2 linked regions of the Arabidopsis thaliana genome follow. The protein of the gene in region 1 interacts with the protein of each later gene in a pairwise test. Each region holds a gene or a part of one and is shown in the gene's direction. Other genes may lie near its edges.

Evidence for each region. The genes of interacting proteins can lie anywhere in the genome.
Region 2: the proteins of GAMMA-ADAPTIN 1 (region 1) and MPK18 interact in a two-hybrid assay, tested with the Arabidopsis thaliana proteins (one large-scale study listed by BioGRID).

Annotation. Positions count from the first base shown.
Region 1 is NC_003070.9:8,439,063-8,447,105, forward strand, and holds the start of GAMMA-ADAPTIN 1 (gamma-adaptin 1), read left to right. Parts: upstream 1-2,016; 5' UTR 2,017-2,316; coding exon 2,317-2,348; intron 2,349-2,391; exon of another isoform or gene 2,392-2,705; coding exon 2,706-3,008; intron 3,009-3,183; coding exon 3,184-3,325; intron 3,326-3,423; coding exon 3,424-3,597; intron 3,598-3,861; coding exon 3,862-4,041; intron 4,042-4,565; coding exon 4,566-4,720; intron 4,721-4,954; coding exon 4,955-5,045; intron 5,046-5,148; coding exon 5,149-5,312; intron 5,313-5,445; coding exon 5,446-5,500; intron 5,501-5,652; coding exon 5,653-5,775; intron 5,776-5,860; coding exon 5,861-5,956; intron 5,957-6,082; coding exon 6,083-6,210; intron 6,211-6,456; coding exon 6,457-6,561; intron 6,562-6,661; coding exon 6,662-6,924; intron 6,925-7,084; coding exon 7,085-7,327; intron 7,328-7,416; coding exon 7,417-7,592; intron 7,593-7,713; coding exon 7,714-7,818; intron 7,819-7,994; coding exon 7,995-8,043. Other genes in the region: AT1G23890 (NHL domain-containing protein), read right to left, coding at 1-350, 436-533, 619-819, 951-1,115, 1,432-1,602, 1,687-1,741. UniProt on the Arabidopsis thaliana protein: Subunit of clathrin-associated adaptor protein complex 1 that plays a role in protein sorting at the trans-Golgi network and early endosomes (TGN/EE).
Region 2 is NC_003070.9:19,969,834-19,976,058, reverse strand, and holds MPK18 (mitogen-activated protein kinase 18), read left to right. Parts: upstream 1-1,665; 5' UTR 1,666-1,900; coding exon 1,901-1,924; intron 1,925-2,132; coding exon 2,133-2,541; intron 2,542-2,637; coding exon 2,638-2,765; intron 2,766-2,855; coding exon 2,856-2,915; intron 2,916-3,251; coding exon 3,252-3,401; intron 3,402-3,489; coding exon 3,490-3,645; intron 3,646-3,764; coding exon 3,765-3,976; intron 3,977-4,110; coding exon 4,111-4,212; intron 4,213-4,418; coding exon 4,419-4,594; intron 4,595-4,667; coding exon 4,668-5,098; 3' UTR 5,099-5,725; downstream 5,726-6,225. UniProt on the Arabidopsis thaliana protein: Mitogen-activated protein kinase (MAPK) that is specifically regulated by PHS1 and MAPKKK20 and mediates signaling that regulates cortical microtubule functions, maybe through regulation of microtubule dynamic instability.

The DNA of each region.
Region 1 (8,043 bases):
ATTAGGTCAATAAGATCATCAGAGGGTTTCAGTGAAAGGGGCGGCTTTGGGTTGCCGCAACCTGGACTCTCGGGATCAGACACAGAGACTGTTTTGTCTAAAATAGCTACATTATTGGGTTGACACATGAAGAAAAGGCTAGATACCATCGAACAAATTAAACTACTTAGGGCGGAATACATGAGGGAAAGGTGAGACACGATCATCATAACTAGTCTACTTAATACTGAATAAACGGTTGATTCAGCAACTCGGTTTCTAATGTAGGAGAAGAAGGTCAGAACTTGTTCCCCCAATTTGGTTAGGAGAAGCTTCCATGTCATGATGAACGAGAGGTGGTTCACTTCTTCCTGTCTATAACGATTTGGTTTAAGAGATTTGATATGTTGATTATACACTAGTATGTAATATGAGGATAGATTAAAAAAAACTTACATGACGGATGACGTAAGGGCGAACAGCAAATCCAATGGCTACCCCGAGAATGCAGGAAAGGACAATCCCTATTGACCAAAGAGAGTATGTCCCCAAATCTGAAACAGTGAAAGAAGAATCGTTGAAGTTTCCAAAGGCATGGTTAGTCAAATCCACAAAAGATTACTTATAGAAAAGACATACTAGAATGAGAGTTTTCGAGGCAATCCTCCTCCTTAAGATTTATCTGGCGAATCATTTCATTTCCATGATCAGAAACAAGCAAACAACATCTTTGAGGAACAAAAGTTATCTCGAAATCGCTAGAGAAAGTAGCATTCTGTGCAGGTCCATCTCTGTGTCCAAATGCCTTTGAGATCCCTCCAGCAATGGTGGTTACAGAACCTACAAAGTCCAGTAAATAAAACATGCATAATCAAAATAAACTAAGTGGCTCTTTCAACAAACTAAGATTAGACAACAACAACAACTAGCATTTATACAAAAGGAATACAAGAAATGGATTAAACAAACACCTGAAGAGCTGATCTTCCGTATAGCTTTATTACTCTTATCAGCAACATAAACATTCCCTTTAGCATCCACAGCAAAACCACGGGGTTTGCTGAACCGGCTGTTACCAGCTTTACCATCTACATGACCCGAACTCCCATCCCCAGCAAACCGGTTTATCACACTATCTGCACAACCACACACACATACTCAAAGTGAGCTCAAACTTCAATTGAAAGAAAGATAAACAAAATTTTCACTTATAGTAAAGTTTAGAACTTTTATTTGCAGGTTGATCGTTTCACACACATACACACACATATTAGTATTGTGGTCCAATTTGAGATTACGGAGAAAGAAAAAATGAAGGTCAAGACTTGCAATCAAAATCAACAAGCTCTAAACATTTACTTATGCATCCATGAATTTACAACTCATATACAAACACAATTATAATGATCCGATTAATAGATGAGACAAAAGAGTGGTTTTGTGGGTGTTTACCAACGGACAAAGGAAAGGAAGTAGTGTAAAATGTACTGCCGGAAGAATCAAGGACGATCAGATTAGAAGATCCTGGTAAAGCATGAATCGTGTATGGATTCAGACCAGACTTATGGCCATCGACCACCGTTGTGACTTCGTACCCTTCTTCTAAAACTATCTTACCACTCACTGTAACAAAATCATGAGGAAAATTAAAAATTCGAATTTTGGGTTGGGAAATTCAACTGAATTAACAGATTTTTGAAAATATACCCAGATTGAAAACGACGAACAAGAAGAGAGACACGGACGAAAATCCCCAAGCCATGTCAAAATCGAGAGGAGAAAGCGACTGTTCTGTGTAACTTGTGTTGTGTTACTTATTTTTGCTGCTTAGCATCTTTAAAGGTTTTAAAAAGATACTAGGGCCTGAGCGATACTATGATGTGTTCAAGTGTAGGGGAGAATTTGTGTAACAACCAATGAAAGAGCGCGTATCATCGACCCTCTCAAATTTGACTAATAAAAACGGCCCAAGTAGGGCCCATTTATGTGTTTAACTATAAAGAAACGGCCCAGTCTATGTTTTTGTTTTGAGAGGATTGCTGGTCGAAACGTTACCGTTTAGGTGGAAATGGAAGTCATGTTTATACAACGCATTTAATTTGGCAATTATGGTTTACGAAGACTGAGAAGAAAAAAACGAGCATCGTCCATCGAGATCCAAATCCTCAGTTTCATTTTCATCTCTCTCTCTCGTATTGATCAGCTACTCGAAACTCCGGTAACGGATTTTCACAATCCCGGCGGCGAAACTCTTCTTCCCGGCTAAGTTTTCATTTTCTTCAGATTCCTCGTAAAGTTGCCGGTGGACCAAGGTCCAACTCTTGAACACCCCAAATCATGAATCCCTTTTCTTCTGGTACTCGTTTAAGGTAAATTGATTCTCTTCTTTCCTTTTTATCGTTTCTGTTTCAGGTTTCTTAGTCGTTGATCAGCTTACAAATGAAATTTGAATATAACATGATGTAATTGAGCTCGTTTTCATTTGAGGATTGAATTTTGTTGATTGGCCTGTTTCGAAGATGAATTTGGTATTGGTGTTTCTGATTCCATTTAGAATTTTGATTTTAGTCTAAGAACATGATCACACTAAGGATTTTTGGTAATCCTTTTGCTTAATTTAATTGAATATTGGATTGGTCATGTTGCTGTTGGGGTTTAATAGTGGAATCAGATCGGATTATTGTATATGGTTCTGAAGTTATAGTGGACATATGAGTATGATTCAGGGACATGATCCGTGCCATAAGAGCATGCAAAACAGCTGCGGAGGAGCGAGCTGTTGTAAGAAAGGAGTGTGCCGATATTCGAGCATTGATTAATGAAGATGACCCGCATGATCGGCACCGGAACCTTGCGAAACTCATGTTTATACACATGCTGGGTTATCCCACACACTTTGGGCAGATGGAGTGCTTGAAGCTAATTGCATCTCCTGGATTTCCAGAGAAGAGGATTGGATATCTAGGGCTAATGTTGCTTCTTGATGAGAGACAAGAAGTGTTGATGCTTGTCACAAATTCGTTAAAACAGTATCCTTACTAATTTCTAGTATTAAATCTTGATACCTTGGCCTTTGAATGGATTCTTCTTCTATGTTAAAAAATACTAGAGAACACTTGATTTTTGATTGCATTGCTGTTATGGGAATTAAGGAGAAAAATATTTAAATAGATTTGTTCCTGTTTAACCTTAAGTCACGTGCAGAGATCTTAATCACTCGAACCAGTATGTTGTAGGACTTGCTCTCTGTGCTTTAGGGAATATTTGTTCAGCAGAAATGGCCCGTGATCTTGCGCCAGAAGTAGAAAGATTAATCCAGTTTCGTGACCCTAATATCCGAAAGAAGGTGAAGTGTTTTCTAATTCATATACAGGGTCTCCTGGAGTTTAGTCGCTTTTTTTTTTTCCTTCATTGCCTTTACCATTTATGTTGTATTATATGCAGGCGGCGCTTTGCTCTACTAGAATAATAAGGAAAGTTCCAGATCTAGCAGAAAACTTCGTAAATGCTGCTGCTTCCTTGCTTAAAGAAAAGCATCATGGGGTTCTTATAACAGGAGTTCAACTTTGTTATGAATTATGCACGATTAATGATGAAGCCCTAGAGTACTTCAGAACGGTAAGTCTATAAATATTATACAGAACACTCTACTTATGCATACAGGAGCATCGACGTAATTTAATTGAATATGCGTACATATGATACTATATTACCTGTATGATGCTTTTGTGTACTATTTTTCTCTTGCAATAAAGTTTGATATCTGTGGTATTCACTTATAAATAGATTACTCTGCTGAAATGAGGCAGACAATCAGGTTGTTATATTGTTTTATCAGACCGTCAGTTTTGACAAACCCTTGTCTTTGTTTTGTCTCTGCAGAAATGCACAGAGGGACTGATAAAAACTTTGAGGGATATTACTAATAGCGCATATCAGCCTGAGTATGATGTTGCAGGGATCACAGACCCTTTTCTCCACATACGGTTGCTCAGGCTCTTGCGTGTTTTAGGCCAGGGTGATGCTGATGCTAGTGATTTGATGACAGATATACTTGCACAGGTTAGTCATAGTTTAGCAAGTGATTCTGGATATGGTTGACCATCTTCACATTTGCGATGTAATTCCTTTGTTAAACATCAACGGTTTATGGTTTTTGTTCCAGTTACCTTACATATATTTTTTCGGAAAAATGTTGTAAGATAGCTATGCTCTCTCATGTGCTGGAACTGATTCTGTTAAATATAGCATAATGGAGAAAGAATTTCATTTCGTTGATAGGGTTCATGGGCTATTATTCTCTTTGGTAGATAGAAGACTTATTGGTTACTGAGTTTTTGCCGTACTTGAATTCTCCCTCTTTTGATACCGGTCTTTGTTGTCATAGTAAGTGTTGATTTGTGGACGGACATATAAATCTGTAGGCTGCGCCAATCCTTTTCTATCTCACCATGATGAATGCATCCTGCGTCTGTTACATGCTTTGTTTTGGAAATCTTTTGAGTTCAAAGTCAGGGATCTACTGTCGGATACTTTGTTATCCTGGTTCTTTGATATTTATTCTCGTTGGTTTCATGCTATTGTAGGTGGCAACAAAAACTGAATCAAACAAAAACGCAGGGAATGCGGTACTCTATGAGTGTGTTGAAACAATCATGGCCATTGAAGACACCAATAGCTTGCGTGTGCTTGCTATCAATATCTTGGGAAGATTCTTATCTAACCGCGACAATAACATCAGGTTCAACCCCCTACACCTCAATTTTATTTGATAATAGTATGGTATTATATATGTTTGTAATGGAACTAGCTTACTTGTATTTTTCTTCTGTCTATCATCTTTCTTTGGATGTGCTTAACTCTATGAAGCACACAATGCTCTTCTGACCAACCAGCGTTGCCTTTTCTAATCTTGATTTCGTTTCTCTCAAAAACGCTGCATTCCCTTATGAAATTCATACTTTCGTTCTCTCAGATATGTTGCATTAAACATGCTGATGAAAGCTATCACTTTCGATGATCAAGCAGTGCAAAGGCACAGAGTTACAATTTTGGAATGTGTGAAGGTATTAGTATTACCAGGAAAATATTTTATACAATGTTAACTGCTAAGTATATCTTAGAGAAATAAAAAATGCTAATTTGGTTTCTGCTTCCATAACAATATAGGACCCAGATGCTTCTATCCGGAAAAGAGCTCTTGAGCTTGTCACTCTTTTGGTGAATGAAAACAATGTCACACAACTGACAAAGGAGCTAATTGATTATTTGGAAATCAGCGACGAAGATTTTAAGGAAGATCTTAGTGCAAAAATTTGTTTTATCGTTGAAAAGTAAGTATTCTATTTAAGAAATAGAATGACTACTTACTCTGAGAAAGTTGGGGGTCAGGATGATTGGAAAGTTACTGTGAATGTCTAGTTGATTGAAGTTTTTGTTGACTTTTTAAATTTTTTGATAATGTAGGTTTTCTCCAGAAAAACTATGGTACATTGATCAGATGCTCAAGGTTCTGTGTGAGGTATGGATTCAAACGCGAGAATATGCTCTGTAACGTGTTACCAGTTAATTGCACTCTTTGAAATCGTTTGAGAGTTTATATCTGCTTAAGCTAATTTCAAATGCATTGTTTGTATCTGTCATAACCTATTGTCATCTATTCCATGTTAGTAGGCTGGAAAGTTTGTGAAAGATGATGTGTGGCATGCACTTATTGTTGTCATAAGCAATGCATCAGAGCTTCATGGATATACAGTTAGGGCCTTGTACAAATCAGTCTTGACTTATTCGGAACAGGTAGCTATTTTCTAATGTTAGATTGTGCTCAGTCCTCAATCAGTTGTAACCCTTTCTAATATGGTTTCGTTGAGATGATAACCAGGAGACCCTTGTCCGAGTGGCGGTATGGTGCATTGGGGAATATGGTGATCTGTTGGTTAACAATGTGGGGATGCTTGGTATTGAAGATCCAATAACGGTGAGCATCACAATGGCAATCTTAATTCATTATTTGCTCCATGATAAATATGCAGATGCTTTTGCTTCTTGGGATTTCATTTTTGCTTTGAAAAATATGCAACGAGTATGTGACTGCCTTGAGCAGGTAACGGAATCTGATGCAGTGGACGTTATCGAGGATGCCATTACTCGCCATAACTCAGATTCGACTACAAAAGCAATGGCATTGGTTGCTCTACTGAAGTTGTCATCCCGCTTTCCTTCTATTTCAGAGTATGTCTGACCTCGTTGTGCTATCTGTTTTTATCTCAACTCGTTCATCTGATATCTGCACTTATCCCTTTTCAACTCTACACAAGATGCATATGCGCACTAGTATATGAATAATAAATTTTGGTCTGTCTACAAGAAACTGTAGCGCGTTGCCTTCTGAAAAAAGATTAGAAATATATTATACATGTACATCCTGTCCTCAACTCTCTATTGATAATTAAAAAGTTTTCTAAAATTCAATGACAGGAGAATTAAAGACATAATTGTGAAGCAGAAAGGAAGCCTTCTCCTTGAAATGCAGCAGAGAGCTATTGAATACAATTCTATAGTTGACAGGCATAAAAATATCAGGTGGAATCCCTTGTGCCTCTCTTCCTCATCTATCTTCTAGTGTAAGTTTTTCATATTCTCTCTCCCTCAAAGCTCATGATAGAGGTATGTGTGCATACAGGTCTTCTCTGGTTGACAGAATGCCGGTACTGGATGAGGCTACTTTCAATGTGAGGAGGGCCGGCTCTTTTCCTGCATCAGTTTCAACCATGGCCAAGCCTTCAGTTAGCCTTCAAAATGGTGTTGAGAAACTTCCTGTCGCTCCTCTTGTGGACTTGCTAGACCTAGATTCTGACGATATCATGGCTGCACCTAGTCCATCTGGTACAGATTTCCTTCAGGATCTTCTCGGTGTAGACTTAGGTTCATCGTCAGCACAATATGGTTAGTTCTTTGGCGGTTCTACAGCTCTTGCGTTCATATTATGGCGTGCTCATCTGCTATGTGTCTCTGAATGAACAAGTTTTTAAAAAAATCATTTTCCTCATTGCCTTGCAAAAGGATAACTCATGTTTGGTCTTCCATTTTTTATCCAATGATTCAGGTGCAACCCAGGCTCCAAAAGCTGGCACAGATCTGTTGCTGGATATTCTATCAATTGGAACACCTTCTCCTGCACAAAACAGCACATCATCTATTGGTTTATTATCAATAGCTGACGTTAACAATAATCCCTCAATTGCGCTAGACACACTTTCTTCACCAGCTCCACCTCACGTAGCAACAACTTCGTCCACCGGTATGTTTGATTTGCTAGATGGTCTTTCTCCAAGCCCATCGAAGGAAGGTAGGAAAAAGTCTTAACCTGAAAAAGATCTGTATAATCATTGAAACTCTTTTACAAAGGTCAATAACAAGTTTTCCTCCTTATTGCAGCCACCAATGGTCCAGCTTATGCACCTATTGTTGCATACGAGAGCAGCTCCTTGAAGATTGAGTTCACCTTCTCAAAGACACCAGGGAATCTGCAAACGACAAATGTCCAGGCTACTTTTACTAATTTATCTCCCAATACTTTCACAGATTTTATATTCCAGGCTGCTGTTCCAAAGGTAATTACATCTATCTTCTTTTTTTGCTTTTTTCCCCTTTATTCATCTTTCCCAATTGATAAAGCAGTAAATAGATTTCAATTTTTTCTTTAACCTTCTCTTTCTTTTGTGTAACTTCCAGTTCCTCCAGCTGCACTTGGATCCAGCTAGCAGTAACACACTCCTGGCAAGCGGTAGTGGTGCCATCACGCAGAATCTAAGAGTCACTAACAGCCAGCAGGGGAAGGTATGGCACATTCTCTGTTCGTCTTTCTATCTAACTTTATGTCTTCAACATTCCGTGCTCAGCATTGATGAATAGCACTTGATGATCCACAACATAATCTATGCTCAAATAAAGATAGGCTGAGCCTGTGGATTCAGTGACTTAACATAACACTAAGGGTTTAATGTTTATTGCAGAAATCTCTTGTGATGCGCATGAGGATTGGGTACAAACTGAACGGAAAAG
Region 2 (6,225 bases), about 12 Mb from region 1:
GGATGCATTGTCTTTTATTCATCAACATTATTATATTTGCACTAATAATATAGAGTTGTTGGCAACCAAAAGTTAAGAAAACAATAATATATAGTTGTGCACAAATTATCATTATTTATGGGTGATCCCTTTTTTCTTCTATCATTATATATGGTTCATGGAATTTTAATAAGATGTAACTCAAATAAATAAACAAACAAAATAAATCTGCTTGGTGGAGATATTTTGGCTCCTCCAGTCAAAACTCTAAAACATACATACACGAAAAGCATGATTCATGTGATGAATGGTAATATTGTGTCCACTCTGTTGAATTCTGACTCATGATTATATATATATATATATATATCTTCGAATTATTAAACTTGCAATTCAAAATATTATATATATCATTTTGAAAAACCATTAAAACTATTTTAAAAATAGATATGCTGGTTATATATATTATGCAGAGCCTGGTCTAAATAGATAGAACCAGTCAACCATCATTTATATTTATCTTTGGCCGATAATTATTTTAAAATGCGCACTTAGTCAAAAGAGAGTAAAATTATGATTTTAAAACCGAAAGTAGAAGAAAATGAAAAGCAATGAAATATGCAAAAAGGATCAACTTTAGTTATAAGTTATAACGCCTTAAAATATTGACAATAAATTGACACATGCACCACCTACATCGTCGTATAGTGTGAAATTATATGGAGTATGATAATTTGAAATTATGATATTTTGTACTTTAGATAATGAACCAACTTTGGATTTGAATGCCTCAGATACAAATGAATAATAAGATGTTGGATTTGTTTTAATCAAGATCAGTTATAATATTATCATAATCTTCACCTTTTTGTGGATTTGCCCCTATTGTGATAAACTTTTAATATGAGCCAGACACTAAATATGTTGGTCTTTTCAATAAATACAAAAGCCAAATTGTGTAAATTGACATGTGAATATTAGTTTCACACGAATTGCAAAATTATTAATCTATTTATTTTATTTTATTTTCTATCAAATACTAAGTCATATACCAATGAGGATGGCAGTTTTTTTTTTTCTTTTGATTTTGTTTTTATCATCCCATAGTATCAAGCAAACAACTTGACACTTGGAAGGTCTTTTTCTCAAGGTTAGTTGATTTACATGGAATAAATGTTCATCAAAGATGGTATTTTATCCTAATATATTAATCGTGTATCGTCTTTACCAAAATAAATTAAAATCTAAGACAAATATCCTTCAACAATATTTATTTACATATGAATTAGTCAATTGTATATAGATTTTTCAATCTTAAAAATTTAAATCAAGGAATATAATAAGCAAAATTGAGATAATGTTAATAATATTCCTTTCAGTGGTACGAGAAATACTATCACGTGGGGGTTAAATTGACCACTTATCAAAAAGAATGGTTAGAATCAAAACAAAATTAAGATAGGGGTCAAAATCGGAATTTAAGAAAAATAAAACGGTCCAAGTCCAGCAACAGGTGTCTAAACCATTGGGTCATTTTCCAAAAAGGTCGTCCACAGACCACAGTGGGAGAAAACCAATATTTACTTTACCCTCAAATGTTGTCTAAAACTACGAAACTGCCACTATCTGGGATTTGTCACACCCGTACGCAATAAGTACCACGAGAAATTGCTAGAATTAGAAATTATTTTTATTCAAATTTAGAAAAAATATCTCAAATTCGGTATTTTTAAAATCCTCTCTCGTCTTCTTCTTCTTCGATCGCTGGATCTAGGTTTTGCTCTTCTCTGTATCGTCTTCTTCACAGACTGGGCTTGATTTTGAGTTCTTCTAGTTTTCGGATTCTTAGCAATCTAGGTTTTTTTTTTTTTTTTACTTTTCGAAAAGCCGATCCAGATTTTTGATAATTTTGAAGAAGAAGATGCAACAAAATCAAGTGAAGAAGGTTCGCTTCTTGCTCTCTATCTCTCTCAATCATGCTTTGATTCTAAATGTGGGAAACAGAGGATAAAGTCTTATCCTTTTACAAATTTAAAGACAAAAAAAATAAAATCTTTCCTTTTTCAATTGCAATTAGGTTTGGTTTTGTTGCATGAGCATAAATAAGATGTGTGGATAAAGTTTGTGTTTTGTCTACTTTTGTGATTCACTAGGGCACGAAAGAGATGGAGTTTTTCACAGAGTATGGTGATGCAAACAGATATAGGATTCTGGAAGTTATTGGTAAAGGAAGCTATGGAGTTGTGTGTGCAGCTATTGATACACATACTGGAGAGAAAGTTGCTATTAAGAAGATTAATGATGTCTTTGAACATATTTCTGATGCGCTTCGTATTCTCCGTGAAGTGAAGCTTCTTCGGCTTTTACGGCATCCTGATATTGTGGAGATCAAAAGCATTATGCTGCCTCCTTCTAAGAGAGAGTTTAAAGATATCTATGTTGTGTTTGAGCTCATGGAATCAGATCTTCATCAAGTTATTAAAGCTAATGATGATTTGACTCGTGAACACCACCAGTTTTTCCTTTATCAGATGCTTCGTGCTTTAAAGTTCATGCATACAGGTGTGATTCGTTTCATTGTTTCAGACCTGTGAATCTTGGCAGCATGTTTTGTATTTTTTCTGGTTGTAACTTACTGTTATCCTTTTGTTCATGCAGCTAATGTTTATCACCGTGATCTTAAGCCAAAGAATATACTTGCAAACGCAAATTGCAAGTTGAAAGTTTGTGACTTTGGATTGGCTAGAGTAGCGTTTAATGATACTCCTACGACAGTCTTTTGGACGGTTAGTAGCCTCGAGGAGGAGACCTTTTGTTTGTTAGCCGTTAATTTGTGTGTTTGATTTTTCTCTCTGACTCATTTAATCGCAATGCAGGACTATGTTGCCACAAGATGGTATAGAGCACCTGAGCTCTGTGGATCATTCTTTTCGAAGGTAGGTGTTACTGTGGATTTCTTCTATGCATTCTAATTGGCTATGCTTAGGTCTTATGAACAGATTAGTCTTCTTTAGTGTAGAATATATGCAGATTAGTGTTAATAGCTGATATTTGATGTTACTTGTATAAGTATAGAGTTGTGCCCCAGTGGGATATTAAAATAATTCTTGTTCAGGGATGACTTGAACTCTCCCCGAAGTTGAAAATCTATGAATCAGGTAACCTTGTATCAGGTTATGTTCATTGAGTGGTTTCTTTTGCATCTGCAACTTCATATTCATGGATTTTGTTTTTTCATCATAATCTGATTTACAGTCAAAATTATTCTGCAGTACACTCCAGCTATCGACGTTTGGAGCATTGGCTGCATCTTTGCAGAGGTACTAACAGGGAAGCCATTGTTTCCGGGAAAAAGTGTTGTCCATCAGTTGGAGTTGATTACTGATCTTCTTGGCACACCAAAATCAGAAACAATTTCTGGAGTATGATCCGTTTTTCTTCTTCACATTAATTTCTGGAGTACGTATATATATTGAACTGTATAGCTAAACATTTATTTCTCTGATGCAGGTTCGTAATGATAAAGCTAGAAAATACTTGACTGAAATGAGGAAGAAAAATCCTGTCACCTTCTCGCAAAAATTTTCCAAAGCAGATCCATTAGCACTCCGTCTTTTGCAGAGGCTGTTGGCTTTCGATCCAAAGGATCGACCGACTCCTGCAGAGGTCTCTTTTCTGTCTTTTTCACTTTGTAATTAGATTCTTCTTCGGTCCTCTTTGTAAAGCTGCCTTGCGTCTTGTGTGTATCTCTCTGCTTACTTTGCTATCTTTTTGTTTTTCGATAGGCATTAGCTGATCCTTACTTCAAGGGTCTTTCTAAGATTGAAAGAGAACCTTCAAGTCAGCAAATCTCGAAAATGGAGTTTGAATTTGAGAGGCGAAGGTTGACAAAGGACGACATTAGAGAACTAATATACAGAGAAATACTGGAGTACCATCCTCAGTTGCTCAAGGACTATATGAGCGGATCTGAGGGGTCTAATTTTGTATATCCTAGGTTTGAATTTCTTCCTACCTTTTATTATTATTTACCAAATGAAACATTTCTTGTTTCTTTCTCCCGTTGAATTTATGTCCAATCGCGTACCTCTGCCTGGCTTTTTATTCATGTTTTTACTTTTTCACTTGCAGCGCCATTGGACATCTTAGACAGCAGTTCACTTACTTAGAGGAAAATAGCAGTAGAAATGGGCCGGTCATACCTCTCGAGAGGAAACACGCATCACTACCGCGGTATGTTTTCTCATTCTTTATATACAAGTCGACTGTAGGGAATATGCTTATTCTTTTGTTCTTTCTTCTGCTACTGCTTAGCATTTGTGAAGCATATGGTCGAAGGCCTCAAGCAAACTTTCATATGTTCTCTACTCTTCTAATTCTAAAAACTTTCATATGTTCTCTACTCTTCTAATTCTAATAGATATGATTGTTTTCCACAGGTCTACGGTTCACTCAACTGTAGTCCATTCCACCTCGCAACCCAACTTGGGTGCAACAGATAGTAGACGTGTTTCTTTCGAGCCTTCAAAAAATGGAGCTTCTTCTGCAGGACATCCATCAACTTCCGCGTATCCTACTAAATCCATCGGACCTCCACCAAGAGTTCCACCATCAGGTCTCAATCATATCTCCAAATATTATTTCCTAAAGTTAGAAACTTCAACTAACTTTCACCCTATGTTTTACAGGTAGACCAGGTCGTGTTGTGGAATCATCTGTATCTTATGAGAATGGCAGGAACCTCAAAGAAGCTTATTTCAGAAGCGCGGTTTCATCTCCTCATTGCTACTTCCGACCAAACACCATGACAAACCCGGAGAACCGCAACATAGAAGCTTCGTCTTTTCCACCAAAGCCACAAAATCCTGTCCACCAATTCAGTCCCACTGAGCCACCAGCTGCTACAACTAACCAAGCAGACGTTGAGACTATGAACCACCCAAACCCTTACTTTCAACCACAGCTCCCGAAGACAGATCAATTAAACAACAACACACATATGGCCATTGATGCTAAGCTGTTGCAGGCACAATCACAGTTTGGTCCAGCAGGAGCTGCAGCGGTTGCAGTAGCAGCACACCGGAACATAGGCACAATTAGTTACAGCGCAGCATCATAGACAACACTTCAGACAGATCTTTAACCACCACATCTTCCTCCACCAGGTGATTCTCTAGTTTTTATGTAAGTATTATTCAGTCCAGGCTCTGATATGAACTACGTTGCAATGATATAAGAAAGACTTTTATTTAGTTGTAACTCTCCAGAACAAGATCGCCTTGGATTAGTCTGATTGCGGGTCAGTCCCGGTTATTGTTTCGGTTATCTTGTTGGCTCCATAATCTTTGAATTTGCCATAAGCGTAGTTCACCGTAGAGAAGAATATCGTGGTGATTATATACTTCTTAAACTTCTTAATCGGTCCCATTAGTCTTTATTGTTCTTCAACAAAAAAAGGAATCTCTTTGGTTATTGGAAAATATGGTCTTGATTGGTTAATATAGACAACATTATGCCGAAGAATGTGGAAGTAACAAAATAAAACATTGGTCCTTAGATTTTTCTTCTGTAAACCACTCTTTCTCAGATTATATAATTAGTCAATTTTATTCAATGGTTACAAAAAGAAAAAAAAAAACTTGCCAATGAAAAAAAGGAATGCTCTTGACCTCAAGACTCATCATGGTTAACAATGAAATTCGCCTTAACTTCGAAATTTTGACGCCGTTGAAATGTTTATAATTTACCCGCCAAGTTTGTAGGCCTGAGTTTAGCCCATTAAAGGTAATATTAGGCGTCCATTAATCATAACGAATATCACTTTCTCAATTTAACAAGTCATGAGAAAGTGTACACATTTGATCTATTTAATATTTATTAACCAAAAAGGAAGCAAATCAATTATTTCGTTACGTGACGGTGGCATTAAGCATCTTGCATTGAATGATCCGTTATATATAATCTCAGGTTTTTTTTGGGTTGAAATGATGATATTAAATTTTAGGTTGACATGTACTTATCTTTGTAATCAACTAATTAAATATTTGAACTGACATGTCTACGTTATATCATAAATAAACCAGGTGTTTTAATTAAATACCACGATTAACCTTCTAAAATAAGGAAAATCATATTTTATTCGTCAATCACTATAATTTGGAAAACGATGCAATATATTTATTTCTTTCTTTATACACATACTTAATTAATTATCAAAATTTCATTCTATTTTAATTGATCTGAAAT